Drosophila melanogaster: one gene and its partner. The protein of the gene in region 1 purifies or fractionates together with the protein of each later gene. This does not show direct contact. Each region holds a gene or a part of one and is shown on either strand. Other genes may lie near its edges. The genes, in order: Arc1 and Doc2.

Region 1 (3,925 bases):
GTGCAAGTCTGGTCAGCCGGGTCAGTTGGCTGGTCGCGCCTATGTCATCTGCACAAGCGGCCGGTTTTGCTTGGTGTGGGGGCGGGGAATGACTGTGCCGGCTGGAGGAGCACGGCAGTGACGCGTTCCAGCCCCTGACGTTTGTGTGTTTTGGGTTATATACTGGCGTGCCGAAGCCTGTCGCGAAATCGCTTGGGTCGAATGTTAAACAGCCCTAGGCCCGTGATCTCGAAGAGACAGTTTTGGCGTGCCAACCGCACGGATGGCGAATCGTTAGCCATCGTAGTGCTATGTGGGTTCGAATTGTTTTGACAAAAGTCAAAAAATTTGTTGGTTTTTTAAATCTCCGAAGAAATTTAGGTTTTGCCCGGCTCACGCCCACTGTAGCTCCACTCGCACGGGGGACATCGCGAAGGGTTGCGACACCGGAAACCGGAAGCAGCCGAAGCCGCTACCGGAAACGGGTGGCGCCCACCTTCAGGGCCGTCGAAATCCTCCTGCAAAAGGATCTAAGTGGGCATTCACCGGGCGGGGGGTTTTTTGCTAGCTTCACAAAGGACCAGGATCAGACGAAAAATCAGCAAATATATGGTTACAATAGCGATGATTGCCATGTCTCTCAACACAGTGATCATATCTTTTGATAGCCAAATAATCGCTTTTTCTCCGCTGACCGGCACAAAGTGGAGCCGGCGGTTGTGAGAATCAACGGTTGTGCGGGGCGGCTGGAGATCAGGCAACATCCATTTCAGACTCGCAATGTCAAAACATAAGATTCGAAGAAAATGGAGCTCCATGCCGAGGCACTTCACCCGCCATTTGGTTCGAATATCATATTCCTCCATTGCGAATAACCGATCTTACGGACGAAATGCCAGATCCTCAGCCGCCCCGCCCGATGATTCTCGAAATCTAGTTTCTAGTTGCAAATAAAGGTTCAATGTTGCAATAAAAATTATTGCTTTCCAAAAGCTGGCGTTCTGTGCCAAAGTAGCCGCAAGTCGGCGTGAAATTATATGAAAATAGAGCCGTTTTCGAGGCATTGCGAATAGCAATACAAACAGCGTGGATTTGTGGATTTCAGAAGCTAGTCGAGGCTTACCGGCACGCCGATTGCCAGTGAGTATGAAGAGTATGAAGAGATGTGGCTGCTGTTGCTGCTGTTGATGTGGCTGCTCCCCATCTCCAGCTCTCCGGTTGTTGGGCTCTCTCTGACGTCGATCGGCTGGCGAGGCTACGAAAAGTTCTGTTTGGGTGGGCGGCAGCAGCGATGAGGTCATCAATGACGTTGGCTGCTGCCTGTTGGTATTTGATGTTCTTTTTGTCGCCTACTCCTCGTGCTGCTCCTCCTGCCGATCCTTCTGGCGCTTACGGCAGTTGTCGAAGGTGTGCCCCCGGAAACTGCAGTAGGTGCAGCGGGTGGTGCGCTTGGAGCCACGGGTGTTCTTTGCTGTGGCAAGCTGTTCCTCGTCCTCCTGGTTGTTGTGCTCGATGATGCGGCCCTGTTCCAGGAGATCCTTGAAGGTATGGACACTGTGGCGGGAGATGTGCTTGCGGTACTTGATGTTCAGCAGACCGAACAGAAGATCCAGTTCCGTTTCCTCGTCGTGGCGACCGCTGGGCAGCTGGGCCAGCAGCGCTCGCTTCTGGATGACGAAGGTGTCAATGGGGTCATGGTCGTCCTGCTTGTTTTGGAAGAATTCCATGTAGATCTGGTAGGCGGGCTTGGTGGGCGAGAAGTGTTCGCGGATGAGAGCGATGGCTTCCTTCCACGTGGTGGCCTCCTTGCGGACGCCTTGCCACCAGGTGCTGGCCATACCGTAGAACAGCAGCGAGATGCCCTTCAGGGCGTTCTCGTCGCTGATACCTTCTACATCCTTGTATGTCTCGATGTTGCCGATGAACTCCTCGACCACGTCGTGGTCGCGGGTTCCGCCGAAGCTGTGTGTGCAAGCGGAGAAGTTGCCTTTGCCTCTGCTGGCGTCTGCTCCTCCGGCTGCTGCTGCACTTCCGGCGGCGCCCACGGCGGCCGCTCTTACAGCTTCGATCAGCTCGCGGAGCTGCTCGTTGGTCATCTGTGTAAGCTGGGCCATTTTCGCTGCTGTGTGAGGTTAGGTGATCAAATTAATCTTGGTTCAGTCGGCGGACAAAGCCAGTGTAGCGAATGCGGCCGGTGATTTGAACTGAACAGCTCTCCCACATTGCAGCCCTTTTATATCCGCCTGTTGTGAAATCGAACTTCGAAAAAGCTTGAGGCATTGGGGAGAGCCAATAAGAGAGGGAAGGTCTATGTTTTTGGTATTATTGCTCAGAGTGAATCATCACGAAACGGGTGGCGCCCACCTTCAGGGCCGTCGAAATCCTCCTGCAAAAGGATCTAAGTGGGCATTCACCGGGCGGGGGGTTTTTTGCTAGCTTCACAAAGGACCAGGATCAGACGAAAAATCAGCAAATATATGGTTACAATAGCGATGATTGCCATGTCTCTCAACACAGTGATCATATCTTTTGATAGCCAAATAATCGCTTTTTCTCCGCTGACCGGCACAAAGTGGAGCCGGCGGTTGTGAGAATCAACGGTTGTGCGGGGCGGCTGGAGATCAGGCAACATCCATTTCAGACTCGCAATGTCAAAACATAAGATTCGAAGAAAATGGAGCTCCATGCCGAGGCACTTCACCCGCCATTTGGTTCGAATATCATATTCCTCCATTGCGAATAACCGATCTTACGGACGAAATGCCAGATCCTCAGCCGCCCCGCCCGATGATTCTCGAAATCTAGTTTCTAGTTGCAAATAAAGGTTCAATGTTGCAATAAAAATTATTGCTTTCCAAAAGCTGGCGTTCTGTGCCAAAGTAGCCGCAAGTCGGCGTGAAATTATATGAAAATAGAGCCGTTTTCGAGGCATTGCGAATAGCAATACAAACAGCGTGGATTTGTGGATTTCAGAAGCTAGTCGAGGCTTACCGGCACGCCGATTGCCAGTGAGTATGAAGAGTATGAAGAGATGTGGCTGCTGTTGCTGCTGTTGATGTGGCTGCTCCCCATCTCCAGCTCTCCGGTTGTTGGGCTCTCTCTGACGTCGATCGGCTGGCGAGGCTACGAAAAGTTCTGTTTGGGTGGGCGGCAGCAGCGATGAGGTCATCAATGACGTTGGCTGCTGCCTGTTGGTATTTGATGTTCTTTTTGTCGCCTACTCCTCGTGCTGCTCCTCCTGCCGATCCTTCTGGCGCTTACGGCAGTTGTCGAAGGTGTGCCCCCGGAAACTGCAGTAGGTGCAGCGGGTGGTGCGCTTGGAGCCACGGGTGTTCTTTGCTGTGGCAAGCTGTTCCTCGTCCTCCTGGTTGTTGTGCTCGATGATGCGGCCCTGTTCCAGGAGATCCTTGAAGGTATGGACACTGTGGCGGGAGATGTGCTTGCGGTACTTGATGTTCAGCAGACCGAACAGAAGATCCAGTTCCGTTTCCTCGTCGTGGCGACCGCTGGGCAGCTGGGCCAGCAGCGCTCGCTTCTGGATGACGAAGGTGTCAATGGGGTCATGGTCGTCCTGCTTGTTTTGGAAGAAGTCCATGTAGATCTGGTAGGCGGGCTTGGTGGGCGAGAAGTGTTCGCGGATGAGAGCGATGGCTTCCTTCCACGTGGTGGCCTCCTTGCGGAGGAACCGCCACAAACTGTGCTCTCCAATTATTCAAAAATGTTGAAGAGAGAGAGAGTGTTGGATATTTTTCGAAACTCGAAAAAGCTTTTACTTACGGAGAAAGAGAGAGGGAGGAGAGCAATGTGGCTTTTCATTTCACAACAAGCGAAATTGCCAGTTGCCCCCCAACCGTCTAACGATTGGGGCTTGAAATCGGAATTGAGCTGGTCTATTTCGGGCGCTTGTTTACTCATTTTTTAAACCCAAACAAACCCAAGAAACCGG
Region 2 (3,925 bases), on another chromosome or scaffold:
ACTCTAGTAAAATAATCAAAAATTCCTTTGACTATGTGTCATAGATAAGACCATCTATCTGAACTCAATGAAATTTTTGCTTAATTTGCTTCTCCATACTTTGATGACTGAAACCCATGCAAAACGAACTAACTGCAGGTATTTTAATTATTGCAAACACTACTTGCTCAACTAGCAGTTCTTCGAGTGCATCATTTGCTACCTGTTGGCCCATTTATCCGGAACCGAACGGAAGTAAACCGAAATGCATTAGTCAGACAGCAGGCACAGGGGCAGCACCAATTAGCTGGGTGCTGACAAATTGCACAGCTATTGGCATGGTCTGAAAGGGCAGACCCTTTAGAGGCTCTACAGGATCGATGTCTAATGGTTTGACGAACGTAGTCGAGCTGAAAGACGGCAGAACGGAAAACGCAACCGGAAATGAGCGCGACCAAATGTGAAAACGCGAGGCATAAATTATGGTCAGACGGCGCATACATTCATACGTGGCCAGAACGCAATTTGGGCGAAATGGCCTGCTAATAGTAAATTAATTTCAGACGCTTATCGCCGCCAACTGTGGCTATGGCCATATCCATAGGAAAATAATGCGTGGATGTGTCAGGCCAGCAAAGTGCTGTGTAAATTAGCTCGGCTAACTACATATTTACCCATCGAGAGCCTCAGGAATTTCGCAGTAATGCTGTTCAGATAAGCCAAGCGATTGTCTTAAACTTGAAAGGAAGTGGCACTGGAGGCAAACACGAGACTAGTCGTTGGCAAAAAAAAAAAAAAGAAAACAACACATTAAAAACCGAGCACGTTTCGCCATCGTCGGCCCACATGGCGTATGCTTAACTTCAGTCAAAGTTCAGACCACCTCATTGGGCCTTAATTAGTTTCGAATTTGTTAGCAAGCAGCTCCGACACGCGTTTCCGTCGTTTGAAACAAATGTTTTGCCAAGCTCTCTAAAAGGTCAGATCCACAAACAGTGATCACCTGCATCGCCGGCAATATCTGTAGACTAGACTATAGCCTATAGATATTCGTGTACCAGCAAGTGGAGACGCCATATCGGGCCTTTGGATGCCGCCATATCAATGCCTGAATGACGCAGCGTCAAAGTCGAAATAACATATAATTACACAGAGAAAACTGCATTAAAGTGTTATTCGTTTAATTAAAAAGTAAAGATTATTGTATAATGGGCCCCAATATATTAATTAATTAAACTATTTACCAATTCTTCTCTACTGATAAACTCTAAAATGTGTATAAAAAAAAACTATTGCAACGATGACCAAGCAATTTCATCCAACATCAATCCGCCAACAGGTAAACAAGGTACTTTAAAGTAAGTGATTGGAACTTTTACTGATACTTAGATCAATATCTTATACAATACGCTGCCAAACACACCAAGAGTAAATATTTTTCAATAAAAAACCATCAAATTGCTGTTCAAACAGCATCAATAAATTCTTTTCTCTGTAGTGCGCCGGGTAAAATGTAATAAATGATCAGCAAAACGACAAACACACACGGCTTGGAGAGGCCAGACAAGAGGACCACCATGATGGTGATGGTGATGGCAGCGGCTACAAATGGGCAAAGCATAAATACACAAAAAGATGCCAAAAAGCGGAGACGGAGAAAAAACAATTTCAATCATCATGATCATAATTAAAAGGCAGCCAGCCAGCGCACACACACATAGCGAATGGACCCAGAAGCAACATGTTGCTGCTCCTCCGCTGACTGTGCAACTTCGCACTTCAGAATTAAACGCAATTAGAGCGAGCTGGCACAATGTGAAGAGAGAGAGAGAGAGAGAGTGATAGTCAGCGCTTCGTGGGCGGAGCCATGGCATCTGGAAAATCGAGAGGATTTTTCAAAATGGAGGTGCCAAACCAGAGCGGGACGGCTAGCTCCCGCACTCCGTACACTGCCACAGCCAATCGATGGTGAGCAGCAGGTAATCTCGATCAATGGCTCAAGACGGAAACGAGTCAAGCTCGTTCCATTCAGCTCGATCGAGAGATCGCTCTGCCAGCGGAACTTGCTCAGTTGAAATGCGAACTTGGCGAGCTCAAGACACGACCGTCGCCCAAAGATACAAAAAATTCTCTCAATATATTTGTGGTAAAATAATAACCCACGTACGCGACACCGGGCCTAATCAAATTAACACCCACGCACATGAGAGACTTTTGTGTGCCGTGATTTGCATAATTGACGCTAATCGGCGGCGTCTCGTGCTCGGCTAAAAAGTAAACCCGGGCTCCAAAAAAATAGACACCGCCATATGTTGTGACAGTGCTTTTTGTGTGCTGGGGAACAATTGTGCAAGTGACAAACGCCAAACAAAGAAGTTTCGGGCAAAGATTTAGTACTATTTTTGGACCCAACACATCATGATCACCATGAACGAGCTGGTGGATCTGCGCATGCAGCAGCACATAGCACACGAGATCTATCGCCAGCAGATCATGCAGCGCATACCAGGTAAACTGCTTGCCCCCTTCATATCACTCATCCGCCCCGTTACGCGTGCGGCAAAGCTGTTAGCCATCATTAGCATTAATGGTCGTAACTTTTGGCAAACTGCTTTTGTTTCTGTTACTGTCTCAGCCCACCAAAGTTGGCCAAGATCAGCGGGGTGTGTGCGAGTAGCGGTGTTTATGGCCAGCGGATCATAAAGCTGAGTAATGTGGGAAAGTGATCGCCGATCGAGAAACTTGATATCAAATGCATTTTTCTTGTTGCCGACGGTCGTTAAATTTCGGGATCAGCGTACCCCTAAAACAAAATCGTTGTTTGCCAAAGTATCGCTCCTTATTTTGTGGATACCAGATGGAGGGCATTAAGTTTGGTAATCGGGAAAGAATCGGTGTTCCTCGTTCGCCAAATAAGCGTTTTTATATAACCCCATGTTTGTTCGTTTGTTTTTATGACAAATATGTCAGTCATCATATGGATTTATGCCGTAAGATCTCTTTGGATAAGTCAGAAATGTCACACTTTAATTCAGACCCACGCTCTTAAACTAATGGCGACTATTAAGTTATTTGAATGGGTTTCATTTTAGCCAAATACCATGTTAATATGTTTACATAATTTCAATAATTCTTAATTTTCTTTGTTGAAGACTAAGTAGTTTGTTAGATTGCTTGAGCTTTTGTTAACCTATAAGCCCCCTATTGATTATTGTTCTTTTCAGATCCGTTTCCGCCGATGCTGCCAATTCCGATGCCACGGCACGTGATCATGCCACCTCGAGTCACGTTGCCCGGCGTGGAGATGACCCTGCAGAACGACGATCTATGGAAGCAGTTCCATCAAATTGGCACGGAAATGATCATCACCAAGAGTGGCAGGTAGGTTTAGAACAGAGAGAAAAGATCTTTGATGATGAAAATGATGAAAAACCAAGAGTGGGGGAATCTCGAGATATACAGACTTTAGAGATCGGGAACAAACATAGATGTAGCGATGCATTAGCACGAACATGAAAACTAATACCCCAGACGCAGGGCAAAGAATAATAAACCAGCCAACGGGCGCGGGCACTTAAAGCACCCTATAACGATCCCTAGCCCGATCCCTGGCCCGATCCCGATTCCGATCCGATTCAGTAGAGTCCAGCGAGGATGTGCTGCTGTTAAAGGCTCATTAGATGCAGGCGCCTGCAAATTGTTTACAGCGGCGTCGCGACAACGATTTTCACAGGCAAACAAGGCGGAAGGATGCACTTACGTCGGCAGGATGTGAAAATCGAAAATTGAAAATTGAAAATCGGGAAATGGAAAAGCGGTTGCAGGTTCAGCCAAAATTGATGCGCACTGGACATCGGCTATCGCACGAGGCGTAAAGCGAACAAGTTCGCCGGCACTTTGCGTGCTCAGATCGTAGATAGTACGAATCAAAGGCATAGCGCGATCG

What was found.
Region 2: the proteins of Arc1 (region 1) and Doc2 purify together in Drosophila melanogaster (affinity purification with mass spectrometry, with the first as the bait; one large-scale study listed by BioGRID). This does not show direct contact.

Annotation. Positions count from the first base shown.
Region 1 is NT_033778.4:14,358,108-14,362,032, forward strand, and holds the start of Arc1 (Activity-regulated cytoskeleton associated protein 1), read right to left. Parts: upstream 2,191-3,925; 5' UTR 2,094-2,190; coding exon 1,329-2,093; 3' UTR 1-1,328.
Region 2 is NT_037436.4:9,017,364-9,021,288, reverse strand, and holds the start of Doc2 (Dorsocross2), read left to right. Parts: upstream 1-2,042; 5' UTR 2,043-2,397; coding exon 2,398-2,488; intron 2,489-3,203; coding exon 3,204-3,360; intron 3,361-3,925.